Linked DNA regions of Mytilus edulis. The protein of the gene in region 1 purifies or fractionates together with the protein of each later gene. This does not show direct contact. Links are inferred from orthologs where the notes say so. Each region holds a gene or a part of one and is shown on either strand. Other genes may lie near its edges.

Evidence for each region.
Region 2: the proteins of non-lysosomal glucosylceramidase-like (region 1) and 2-hydroxyacyl-CoA lyase 2-like purify together in Homo sapiens (co-immunoprecipitation; 3 studies listed by BioGRID and IntAct, counting the BioPlex papers as one, with this or other methods). This does not show direct contact. The link is inferred for Mytilus edulis from reciprocal best matches to the Homo sapiens genes GBA2 and HACL2.

Annotation. Positions count from the first base shown.
Region 1 is NC_092347.1:28,764,438-28,771,518, reverse strand, and holds the start of non-lysosomal glucosylceramidase-like, read right to left. Parts: upstream 3,076-7,081; 5' UTR 3,075-3,075; coding exon 2,815-3,074; intron 1,693-2,814; coding exon 1,604-1,692; intron 415-1,603; coding exon 299-414; intron 1-298. Other genes in the region: electron transfer flavoprotein subunit alpha, mitochondrial-like, read left to right, coding at 3,133-3,174. UniProt on the Homo sapiens protein: Non-lysosomal glucosylceramidase that catalyzes the hydrolysis of glucosylceramides/GlcCers (such as beta-D-glucosyl-(1<->1')-N-acylsphing-4-enine) to free glucose and ceramides (such as N-acylsphing-4-enine).
Region 2 is NC_092350.1:93,317,758-93,325,039, reverse strand, and holds the start of 2-hydroxyacyl-CoA lyase 2-like, read right to left. Parts: upstream 3,116-7,282; 5' UTR 3,075-3,115; coding exon 2,940-3,074; intron 1-2,939. UniProt on the Homo sapiens protein: Endoplasmic reticulum 2-OH acyl-CoA lyase involved in the cleavage (C1 removal) reaction in the fatty acid alpha-oxydation in a thiamine pyrophosphate (TPP)-dependent manner. Involved in the phytosphingosine degradation pathway.

The DNA of each region.
Region 1 (7,081 bases):
TTCCAACAATATTGATGCCACATTTCAGAAAATTCTTATTTATAGTTCCTGAACACTAAATTTCATACATGGTCAGAATTTGTAACAATATATTATAGGTATTCAGTTAACAAAAAGTTCAAAATCTGAATTTAAGGAAGTTTTGATATGTAAATGTAATACCGTAGAAAAATGTGGCAGAACTTTTATGGAATGAACAGATGGACAAACAGATGGCATACACCAGAATAGCATTATACCACTCTCATTAGGTTTGACAATGGTAGGTCATGAAGATTGCAGTTATTATTGTACTTACAGAATTTGCTGGTACAATAGTATGTTCATATATCCCTGGCACCATCTGAAATCTACAAAATTCACCTCGGTAACCACGACCAATGGTCCCACACCCTATACCACCTATTGGACAGCCTGTAAAATATGTAACAGTTTATCTTAAGAATTCTTCTTACAATACAAGATTAAAGGAACTTCTATTTCTTGACACCACAATCCATACCACTAATAAGACAACCACTAAACATATTATGAAATATCTACAAAATTATTAAAAAAATCCTCAACCATGCACTTGTAATAAATATACATAAATGATATAGTTACTGTAAATTCAGAAATTATTGCCGGCATTTACTATTGTGATTTTGTCATTTTAGACTTAAATGTGATTTCAATTTTTAGGATATTGAGAAAAAAATTATATAAAATATTTCAAAATGCTAGTTTAAATTATTGCGTTTACAACTTTGTTGCATTTTTCGCAATAATAAAAACCTCACAATAATTTCTGAATTGACAGTAAACCAACACAACTTTCCCAGGCAGAAACAGTCAATTGGCCCACAACTTACATTGCCATACAGAAATCATGCAAAATAAACAAGATTAAACCATTCCACAATCTATATCCCTTATAAGACCACCTGCAAAATATGTACAAGTATATTTAAAGAATTCTCACTAGAAAAAAGTCCTACAAATATTGTATTATTTCATCATATCTAACATGTCGAACTCATTCTAAGTTACGGGACCTGAATTTAGTATGTATCAGTTTTACCCATTTAATATGACCTGTGACCTTTATTTCAGGTTTATTGTTAAAACCTGACCTGTCAAATTTTCTCTGACAAGCTATCTTTTTGGGGTTTTTTTTTTTTATCATTTGTTTACTGTCTCATTGACAGATATTTAACATGTTATTGAAACGTCACAAAAAAGTTACCATGTTTGTCGACATAAAAGCAGATCATCAAGAAAAATTTTGAGCAATACAATGCGTCTCCAATTCTAGATATTAAAATTGATTGACGAGTCTCAAAATAGGAAAAAAATCCTGTCAGAATTTTTTGGTATATAAATCACCCTTCAAAACTATTGTCAATACTATGGTGGTCAGTTTTTATTAGTTTTGAAGCCCAGGTCTCTGAGCAGAACCACTGAGGCAAGTTTCAGTAGGAAACCTGATACCACATTGTGGACAGACTAGTGAAACAGTAGATAAACTCCTTAGACGACTCAGATACCAAGACTTGATGCAGTGGTCCACTCAATTTGGGGATTCAGTTAAACACAAACTATGTCTTCTGTTAATTCTTACCATAAATAGGCTTGTGAGTAACTTGATTGAGATGATCTATAAACATTATTCTTCCCTGTCTTTTGTGCTTTATCCATACTTTCATATATCTGTAACAACCAACAGTACAAAGTTTTAGACTTTCCGACATTCAATAACATTTTTCTGATAAATAGATTAATTGTTGTTTGCAGTGGAAAATATTTCATGATGTTACGATTTTGTCTTGCATCATGCCACCAACAGACACATAAGAATTCTTTTAACCTTTGACATTTACCGTAAGCATTTTAGAACTAAACTTATGGAAAATACACTATCCAAGTTCAGGGGCGGATCCAGTCCTTTTAAAAAGGGGGGGTTCCTAACCCAGGACAAAGGGGGGGTTCCAATTACATGTCCCGATTCAAATGCATTGATCGTCCAAAAAAAAGGGGGGGTTCCAACCCCCAGAACCCCCCCTCTGAATCCGCGCCTGAAGTTCAACATTCAATGAATAGAGCATTTGCATCAAGGCTCATATAAAGGCCATATTGGAATCATATTAAAGAAATTGCTTGAAAATTTCCTGGTGTATTTCTGTTAAACGGTATCTCTCTATATAAGTCATCTGACTTGCCAAGTGTAAAAAAATACAAAATTATTGTAGGAAAGGTTTTGTAGAAACACAATTTTGTGATAAAAAGGAACATTTTCTGGCAAAAGTAATGTCATCCACATACATGTATGTTAGAAACAGACCAGATGCTGTAATAATATAGAAAAAGAAATTATGTGATATGTGCCTTGGAATATAGATGGCTGCAACGTAAACAAATAACAAATTTCAGAAGTTTTTTCATCCAATTCAAATCCCTGACACAAATTTCTTTCTTAATCTTGTTCATTCAAATAAAATGTTATCATATACAAGCAAAGATTCCATGATTTCCAGTTATAGGAAATGTTGTGCATCCTGGACTAATCAGTCTATTTTTGCAACATGTGCAATGAGGCAAAAGAACGGTACAATTTAGCCAACAAATTTTTAAAGAAACAAACATAAATCTTTCTTGATTTGTCTAGAAGGAGCATGCAATTTTGATGCATGTGCAACAGCACCTTTCCACAAAGTACCTTGCCAGTCTTTATGCATGTTTAAAAACTTGAAACACCCTAGTAAATTCGTACCTATAACCATGTTTAATATGTGGCATAATGTACAATGTCTGGTCACAATGTAAAACGTTTACCTATAGCTAAGACCAATTAATTCAGGAATGTGGGTGAGTCTGGGTTTTACAAATGGATCACATTTGTCCTTGCATTCATGTTCGAAGTTTACTCTCCAACCAAATTTGGGGACATTGGCAATGTCCTCTTTTGGTGTAGTTATGCTAGCTTCGGGGGAATGGTCTATATGTTGAGGTTTTGGCATCTTGCACTTGAAGCCTTGAAGCAAGCAGGGAAGCAAGTCAGTCTTGACCAATACGAATGTCGTTTCTGCCCGCATTTGTTTTAATATTTCAACAGTCCGATTACTTCCGGGGTAAAAATATTGTTGCATAAAAATGTTTTCGAGGTGCTGCAGAACAAAATTAGCTAATCAGACGGTAAACTAACGATAATACTTTTTTTGCATATCATTTTAAAGAGTTATCTTTATTATTTGTGTATATATGTTTTTATAAAGATTGATAATGCGTCACTTTGCAACTTTGACCTTTGATTTTTGTAAAATTATCAGATTATATAAATGAAATATTCCATTTAACCAGTCAATGTCCCACAAGGACAGTTTACAAACAACAGTTTTCATTTAATTTTTACATAACATAAACTTAGAAATAAAAAAATATATACATGTATGCATATACAGCAAGAACAGCATGTACAGTGTTGGTGTTAGTATCATGATTATAAGGATTATGTACGCTTGGGTATCGGGATCGTTCGCTCTGATTACATGTTTGCCCTAGGTTCGTTCGCACTGAGTTTGTTCGCCCTGGGTTCTTTCGCCCTATTTTCATTTATGATATATATGTACAATGGATACGTTACATTAATGATGAAATAAAATATATATATTAAAATTTGGGTTACACTAAAGACCTGAAAGTGGACCTGAAAAGACCTGAAAAGACCTGAAAATATACGACTAAAATTATTCAAATTGCAATAACTTTTTTATTATTGGATGGAATTTCTTCAAGTTGGAATTTTATTAATTGTAAATATTCAGATTTCATTCAAATTAAAAAAAATTAAATAAAAAACAATTTTTTGATGCCAAAAGTTGGACCTGAACGGAGAAATGAAAAGACCTGAAGGGACCTGAAAATCTATGTCGGACTAATTCTAACTACAATAACTTTTTTAATATTCAATGGATATCTTTCAACTTTTGTTTTTGTGACACAAAAAGTTCAATATAATGATAAAATTAAAAAAAAAATATGAAAAATACCATTTGGGTGTGAAAACTCGGAACTGAACGGAAAATTAAGGAACATAAATTTGCTTGAAAAGACTGCGGTCAGATTTATTCAATATCTTTAACTGTTTTCAATCATTCTCCTTGAAATATGAATTTTGTTATAGGAAAGGTATAATATATCAATGAAATTATAAAGAATTTTATCGAAAATATAATTATTTAGTTACAAAATTCGGACCTTGTCGGTGAAATAAAAGACATGAATGGATTATAGGGGTAGTTGTATTTAAACTCGCAAAACATTGTTTTCCTATTTGTTTCTATTTTAGACAAAAGTCTATTGAAGAGAACGAATGACTTTATATTTATACAGGAACATATTTGAAAACAAAGTACATTGTTATTGATGAATCCTGAACCTAAGGGGAAAAAAGAGGAAGATTGTACGTTGAAATTATTCAAACTAATACAACTTGTTTAAACTACATTAATATATATTTTATTCTTATTCTATATTAAAGCTGGTCGTAAACTGCTTTATTTATAAAATGAAAGTATTAGTATTGCTTCCCCATAAACCATATGTCATTTAAAGAGTTCGTCGATTGGAATGTTTTAATTACACGAACGTGTGCCGGTTGTAATTCACACCTTGTTTTGATATTAGGTGATAATTGGATCATTAGTCTAAATAAACATTTCACTTTAATCTTCTAATTGGATTATCACTTTATCTTGTTACACGAACTAAACATTGCTCGGTCACCAATTAAAGTATAGTATAGATCTGTACGAACACAATTTTTACCAAAGTACTATTGTCATTGGCCTAATAATATCAAACTATTAAATTTACTACAAGCTTCTAGTAAGTCTCTCACGATCAAATTATGTAATTATGTAAAAGCTGCATTGAATATTCGATCTTATATAGTCTCATAACTCAATTTATATGTCATTGTATTTTACTATTGTTCTCTGTTGTCTATTCATGTTTTATATTATGTAATATATGTTGTTAATTTTGCCATAGCCTGTCTATGCTTTGCAATAAAGATTCATTCATTCAAGTATAAACTTTACAAATTAAAAATATAAGCATATATCAAACTAATCAGTGAATTCAGATCAACGCTCTTACTTTTTATAAATTATAGTCAACTTTGAATCGTTTTTAGTCAGAATAAAAATATTCAACAAAGTGCGTACAAGTATAGTTTCCAACGTTATTATATATCAGCATGTCTCCTGCATTGCCATTACCTTTGCTAACTGAACACACCAGACTAACATCATACCGATCGAGACGCTATATATATCCAGGTTCATTCAGGACTTCATTTTTCATTCAACAGGTCCGACGTTTGTCACAAAGTGCAGGTTCCAGACTTGGGACACCACAAAAATTGTGACGGGGTTATTGTAGTTTAAAGACACCAAACCTTTTTCTCAATTATTTATTTCTATGGTATATCTCTTTGACTTATAAGTTTTGACATCCGAGTTTTGATTATTCCTTGGTATCTTCAATCTTTATCATGTTAGTATCTCCTGTCAATAAAAAATAGGGAGATGTGGTGTGATACCAATGAGACAGATCTCTACAAGAGACCAAATGACATCGAACATGAAAAGTTATCAATCATATTTTTCGTCTATGTTTATTATTTTCGTTTTAAAATAATGTGGAATTTTAGGCTCATTCAGATTTTGAATTTTTCGTTCAGGTCCGAATTTTGACACCCCAACAATATTTTTCACATATTTTTTTTCATATTATCATTATATTGAACTTTTTGTGTCATAAAATCAAAAGTTGAAAGATATCCATTGAATATTAAAAAAGTTATTGTAGTTAGAATTAGTCCGACATAGATTTTCAGGTCCCTTCAGGTCTTTTCATTTCTCCGTTCAGGTCCAACTTTTGGCATCAAAAAATTGTTTTTTATTTAATTTTTTTTTAATTTGAATGAAATCTGAATATTTACAATTAATAAAATTCCAACTTGAAGAAATTCCATCCAATAATAAAAAAGTTATTGCAATTTGAATAATTTTAGTCGTATATTTTCAGGTCTTTTCAGGTCTTTTCAGGTCTTTTCAGGTCCACTTTCAGGTCTTTAGTGTAACCCTTAAAATTTATGTACATGTATATCTATTAAAAGTTAAATACAGAATATTAATGAAATAAAATTCTTGGCTGCATTGTTACACTTTATTTTATAATTACTTTTAATTACTGTTGATTGAATTTTGATTGCTGATAATTTGAAATCTTTGATATCACTGATTGTTATATGAATTGTCTTTGATGGATTAATAATGAAAATAACTTTTTTCTCAAATAAATTTTTTACAAAGTTATTGCCAAACTGTGACAAGCCGTCCGACAACCCACTAGACAACGTTCAGCCGCTGCAGTAAAGAATTTTAGATCAATTAACACTTTGAACTTTGAACACTTTCTTATGTATAACTTTAGTGCTCCTAATGTATCATTTTTATTGATCAAATCATGTGTGGAAATGTAAAGTAAAAGGATGTGTGATAGTGATTTTCTAGTAATGTAATTACATACAGATACTAACTTAGTTCTCAATAGTTCGTAAATATTCGGCAAAATTGTAGACTGACTTCAACATATAAAATTAAATACACACAACACAACACTATAATAAAAAATAAAAATCAGGGCAAACGGTCTCAGGGCGAAACGGAACAAGGGCGAACAGTAACTAGGGCGAACCGAAATCAGGGCGGACGGACTATACGCTTGTGTTGATTTATAGGTCATTTCTGGAATCATGTCTTTCACCAAAAAAAGATCATCAATTTGTCAGTCTTTAAGACATCATGTCCGAGATAAAAGGCACGTCTATATCCCTGCTCTATTAAAAGTTTCAAGCATCTTCATAATCGTCATTCTGTAGGGTTGTATACATGTACATGAAATGGTACATGTATAGAAATAATTTATGTTCCGTAAGTACCTAATCTTGATTCCTGTACAACTGAGGGAGGGTGACCATCTTATTAGATTTTAATTAAACAAATAATTATGGACCAACTCATGTACACCTTCA
Region 2 (7,282 bases), on another chromosome or scaffold:
ATATCATGTGTATATGTTTGAAATCTGTTTAAAAGATAAATATAGATTCTACCACTGCATCGAGTGTGATACAATATTCATCCACTCAAGACAGTTAAATTTTCAAATTTAAAATGGGAGGCTTGCAGAGTGTTTTAAATATTTAAAATTTAATTGTCGAGAGTGGATAAATATCGTATTATACAAGGTTTGGTGGTGGAATCTGTTTCTCTAATGATTTTGAAACAATAGGCAAGCAAACTTATTGCTTCTTTGCGACTGATCTGCAAAAAGATGTGTTCATTCTATGTGACGTCATCAGGCATGGTCGCCTTTTTTCATGCCGTCACAAAAGGAAATTCGGAGGAAAACAAGAATATTCGACTTCATAATAATATTTTAACCAATGAAGAACTGAAATTAAACAAACCACAAGTTGATTAAAAAATTTTATACAATGGGTGCAGAAAGGGATAAATTGACATAGTATTAGAAATATATATACAAAACACTGGTTTGTATTAATTTGATTGTTAGCTACAAAATGAATTCAGAATTATGATAAGAAATTTCTTCAGATTATGAAGTTGCAGTTAATATTCAAGTATTTACTTCTAAACTTGCATTTAGTGATTCAAATTTATAGATAATTTTTGTACTCATTTTATTTGGTATGAAATTATAATAGTTTTATGCCAAACAACACAATCATTATCTGTTTTATGTCTTATTTTGTACTCATTTAAAAGGGGAGCTGTTTGTGCAAGTCAATGTAAAAGAATGTTTTTAACTTTTTTGTCTTTGTAAGTGAATTATTACATGCAATGACATGTATTAGATTTATTTTTCAATCTTAATTTTCTAAAGCATTTGCTGTAAACATGGTAAAATAACTAAATAATGCAATCAATCTTGATCAAGTGTTTTCTCTCATTCAATTGATCATAATTGCTAAAAATCGCTGCGGCTAGAGAAACAACAATAAATTATCACAATGGCGGGGATTATTTGGGAGTGGCAGCAGATATTTCAACTGGGCAGTTGCTATCATAAAACCAGTCATGGAGATCCCTAAATTTGAAAAAGTGATCATGAATGGAATCTTAAAATAATTGTTTAATCAGTATTCAATTTGGATCCCAATAATTTACAACACATTCCACTAATGGAAATTCTAATCACTGCTTTCTTTTGACTGTTTACTAGTCATTGCTAGTTAGCTTTTGTGAAGGCAGTATCCTCTTCTGCAACAGAGCGTCATGATGATCAATTTTTGTCATTCGGACTGTGAGGTTATTGGACTATCTAACATGTCTAAGTATCAGGCAAGTTCTACTCAAATGGCATCTGGATAAATCAGCACCTGGTATAATCAAATCGTGACCTAGTCAAATTTGCACCTGTTTAAATCAGCACCCCATGTAGTCATTTCATGATCAGCACCCATGACATTCGTGATGAATATGTTGAATATATATATATTTTTTCAGTATTTTTTTTCCTTATTTGTGAAGATCAAAACAAGGAAGTGTTCTTCTTCTTGTTGTCCAGAAATATTCACTAATTAACATTTTTGGGGTTTCTGTATGTATTTTTTTTTAGTTCAACTTTATGTGTATTCAAGGAATTGGATATTTTGTTATACCAGTTGAGTATTACGCATGATGATTGGTTTAATGCTTTTTAAACATTTATTGTTAAACTTTCGTGAAATACAACCTTTATTGCTGACTATTTTGCATCTGAGTTGATTAGTTGTGTTAGTGATATTTTTCCCTTTTATTGCTTCTAATTTTCTCCTGATTAAACAATGCTTAAATGATCAGTAATAGCTACACTGTTTTGTATTTAAATTAGGAAGAAAAAACATCTAGGTCTACCTGTGTAGAGTTAAAACAACAAATATATTGATTATATATATATAATTGATAAGAAAACTAATCAAAATATCAGTCATAAAATGTTTAGATTTGATTTTGATTTTTTGTGTTTTAACACCATTTTTAAGCACAGCATTTAGGGTTAGGTTTTTTTACTAGCGTATTGGCAGCATACAGGATTTTTTACCACGCCCAGTGTATGTCGGAGCTATACACTAATGTGTGATGCCGGTATTAAACTAAGTTTGATTGTAGCGGTTATCTTGTTTGCAGGTTAAAGAATGTTGGAAATATCTTTGAAAGGGGAACACCTATAGCTATGGACCATTTAACCAAAGTTTCGTCCTAATTGGCCCACTGGTTCCAGACAAGAAGATCTTTATGTGAATTTTCCATATTATCCTAGTATGTTTAGCTAAGTTCAGCTGTGGTGGACATCTTGGTAGGAGACAAAGTTTTAGGAACGGGACCATCCAAGCAGAGGCACATGTCTTAGAAAAAAAATCATATATACCATGTATACCTTATTATAACACAAGTTACTATATATTAGGTTTTTTGAAAAACACACTCGGTCGTGAAATTCTGATTTATTTCGATTTCTCAGTTGCCAAACCTACTTAAAATTTATTATGTCCTTTATCTAAATTGATTTATCTACACAGTGTGGGGGGATTATCTGTGAAATAAGTTAAAAACAATAACATGAATAACAGGGATTCAGTTTTGGAAAAGTAAGGTGGAAAGCCAGGTAGAAAGTCTAGTGCCTGTGATTAGTCTGTATCATATCTGGTTGTACATGTTGTATATGTCAGCCTATCAAAACGTCAGACTATAGAACTGTCGGACTATAGAACTGTCAGACTGTCGAGCGGACCCATACCGCCTATTGAACAGTCAGACTATTGTCGGAATTTGGGGTTTGTCGGTATACAACAAAGCTCCAACAGTAACTACTACTAGCATGACCAGAAGGTTAGACATTGTTAGAAGGTAAGTAGGGATGATAGACATCATTGAACTGGCTAGGTAGGATTTGTGAGTGAGACGTGGGGTTCAGTAGAAAATAAGTTTATTTGCCTTGTTAAACAACTGGTAAATTATGCCAAATTTTCTTAAAACAAACAGAGCTCCAAATGCTGCCGCTGACACACTGAATGGGAGAATACAATTCTTTAAAACTCTTGAATAGGTGTCTGATTCTGTGCTCCCCATAGTGGACTTTAAACCTGTATCTTTTGATTGATAAATCTAGAGAGACACTTTTGATATACTGTTGCCTCTGAGGACCATTTAAAGTACAGCTTAATCCCAACCAAGAAAAATGAGTGCGCAGCTACGTACGTGTATGTCAACACGCTCCGGCGTATACATACATTGATTTAGGAGAGAAAAACAATAGACAATGGCTATTATGCCGGAACCGGCAAAGACGAGCTCTGATTAAAATCTATTAATTCAAACTAGAAAAATAGCATATTTCTCAAGAAATATAGTGAATTTGTTATTTTGTCGGTCCCGCTTTGTAAAGAGTGAATCTTGACATTTACTTGTGAAAAGTGCTAATAATATATGCACTGTCATCATTAAAATATCAAATATAATTACTGATATACCAGTACTAAGTTGAATAAGAAAACAGCTATCAACATATTAATCTGTATTTCACACATGCTATATCCTATATATATATGAGTGTAATATCTTCTCTGTAACTATGTATTTGGATTATGAGAATAAAGATAATTTTTTCATTCAATATATTCGTTTCTCCTCCTTCTTCCATGTAAGGAACTGAATTCAATATTTGAATGTATGCGGTCCCGCGAAAACTAACACAATGTCGGACATAACAGAAAGTTTTCTCTTGTCTATTTACAGGATAAAACGTTCTCTATATATATACAATTAAAACATTTATCAGTCATTTGTTGCAATGAAATCATATCTAATCATGTACAAAAATATTTCTAAAATCAGTCAATTTTAAGCTACATCATATGCATAAGAATAAAATCTCAGATTTTTTTAACTGTATGTTATAAAAAAAAAAAAAAAGTTAAAAATCTCATTGCATCATAAATTTGATAAAACATTATATACAAAGGAGTAGGTTCGGTAAGGCCCCTTTTTGGCCCGAAAATATAGCAGTTTTACAAAATTGTGATAATGTAATCGTTAAGCTATTTATTGGAAAGTAGAATGATTCTGCTACATAAGTATTGGCTGTTTTTTGACAATACAATGCACATATATCGGTACTGGCATCATAAAGTCATGCTAAATTACTTCATAATCTTCATAATTTTAGCACTTTAGTAAAATTTTAGACGGTTTCTGTCTAAAATGAAAGTGGCCGCATTCGTGTTCATTCATAATATTGAAATGTAGGTTGTATTTGATGATAATACATAATATATATGAAGGTTGAGGATGAACACGGATGCGGCCACATTCATTTTTGACAAAAACCATCTGAAAAGTGACGATTTTTGCAAATTTGATAGATTTTTCATATTTAAGCTTGAATCTTGAATGCCTTAATCAGTTGAAATCTTTCACAAAAACTAATTGAATCAATTAAAATAGACACTTAAAAAGTGTCTAAAATATTTCGTCAGATGAACTTGAAAATTGAGGCAAAAATTGGCCCTTACTGGACCTACTCCCAGTTTGCCAAAACATTTATGATTGCACTCAATGTAAAAGTTGCAGGCTATATATATATATACAGATATGCATAAGTAATAACCATAAACCACAAATAACTTTGTGACTTATGGTGATAAACCCACTTGCATGAAAACTAAATCTACACCAAAAGATAACCAAAATAAAATGAAAAAAGAACAAGAAGAATGCTGAGTATAAAGAGTATAAATCATATGGTTCCCTGTATCAATAGAAAACATACTTGAATATCTTTTTATGGTTTCTCTGTCTACCTTGTCTTATTTTTATTCCGATTTTTAAACAGAATTATTTTCACAAATCGTGTTTGCTTAATATGTTATTCAACTGATTGAAATGTTGACAGTGAATCGATTATTTGTAAAAATTGGAAAGAGCACACCGATAATGAATCATTTTTTAAAAAGTCTGATTTTTAATGAAAATGCAATACAAAGTCCAAATCACAACTGTAAATCAGAGTACAGTCCTAGTCATTCTAACACGATTGATAATACTTAAATCAGAGTACAGTCCTAGTCATTCTAACACGATTGATAATACTTAAATCAGAGTACAGTCCTAGTCATTCTAATACGATTGATAATACTTAAATCAGAGTACAGTCCTAGTCATTCTAACACGATTGATAATACTTAAATCAGAGTACAGTCCTAGTCATTCTAACACGATTGATAATACTTAAATCAGAGTACAGTCCTAGTCATTCTAATACGATTGATAACACTTAAATCAGAGTACAGTCCTACCCATTCTAACACGATTGATAATACTTAAATCAGAGTACAGTCCTAGTCATTCTAACACGATTGATAATACTTAAATCAGAGTACAGTCCTAGTCATTCTAACACGATTGATAATACTTAAATCAGAGTACAGTCCAAGCCATTCTAACACGATTGATAATACTTAAATCAGAGTACAGTCCAAGCCATTCTAACACGATTGATAATACGTACTTAAATCAGAGTACAGTCCAAGCCATTCTAACACGATTGATAATACTTAAATCAGAGTACAGTCCTAGTCATTCTAACACGATTGATAATACTTAAATCAGAGTACAGTCCTAGTCATTCTAACACGATTGATAATACTTAGATCAGAGTACAGTCCTAGCCATTCTAACACGATTGGTATTTTTTGTTTGCTCAACGACCAGGTGTAAATAGATGTATGCCAATGAGACAATCTCCATCCAAGTCTCAATTTGTAAAAGTAAACCATTATAGGTAAATTAAAGTACTGTCGTCAACATGGAGCCTTGGGGACAGCAAGACATAACGGGCCCCAAAAATGACTAGTGTAAAACAATTCAAACAGGAAAACGAATAGTATAATCTGTATAAAAAACCGAGAAACACTTATGAATCACATTAACAAACGACAACCCGACTGAACATTAGGTTACTGACTTACAGAGCTTATGTTGTATTACATATAACAGACTTTAAATAAATATTTTATGCTTTATGCATGCAAACAAATAAAATTGAGAATGGAAAAGGGGAACGTGTCAAAGAGACAACAACCTGCTCATAGAAAAAACAACAGCAGAAGGTCACCAACAGGTCTTCAATGTAGAGAGAAACTCTCGCACCCGGAGGCGTCCTTCAGCTGGCCCCTAAACAAATATATACTATGTCAGTGGTAATGAACGCCATACTAATTTTCAAATTGTACACGAGAAACCAAAATTAAAAAATGCAAGACTAACAAAGGCCAGAGGCTCCTGACTTGGGACTGGCGCAAAAATGCGGCGGGGTTAAACATGTTTATGAGATCTCAACCCTCCCCCTATACTTCTAGCCAATGTAGAAAAGTAAATGCATAACAATACGCACATTTAAAATTCAGTTCAAGAGAGGTCCGAGTCTGATGTCAGAAGAAGTAACCAAAGAAAATAAACAAAATGACAATAATACATAAACAACAGACTACTAGCAGTTAACTGACATGCCAGCTCCAGACTTTAATTAAACTGATTGAAAGATTATGATTTCATCATATGAATATCAGACACAATCCTTCCCGTTAGGGGTTAAGTATGATACCATCATAACATATATGAGAAGAACAAAACCCGTGTCATGCCAACAACTGGTTTTTTATTTCATGTGTTTAGTTCCGATGCAAAGACCCTATAAGTGAATCAATATTAACTCCAAAATAAGCAATCTTTAATGACCTGACAACAGCATCGTAACTATATCCCTTCTTGATAAGTCTATTAAAAGGTTTTGTTAGTTTTTGAGGTGAAAACACACACATATATATATATATATATATTAAGACAAATATAAACAAGTCTAAATTGAAACTCGATCAAACCTATGTTGGATAAAAACCGCAATTTTTATTCGTGTGCATGTAAAACAAATTTCGTTGCAGAAGGGTCTAAATACAGCACAAACAACATTTCCAAAAGATCAAAACAGTGAAAAAGTATTTTTTAAACAAAACGCATTTGACTAACAGGTCGAACACTTGATGTTCTTTAACCCTGCTGACTGCCATTGGTGATTGCCAAATGAAATTGATTACAAGATGTAACAAAATAGATCCTAATACAAATTTAATACTAAACAGAAAACAATAAAGTTGTGTCCAAGATGTTATGCCACAAACATAAGGTGTCAATATTTTTTTTGTGTACACCAGATCCGGATTTCGACAATAAATGTCTCTTCAGTGATGTTAGGGATCGAAACGGTATTTGGAAGGCCATTT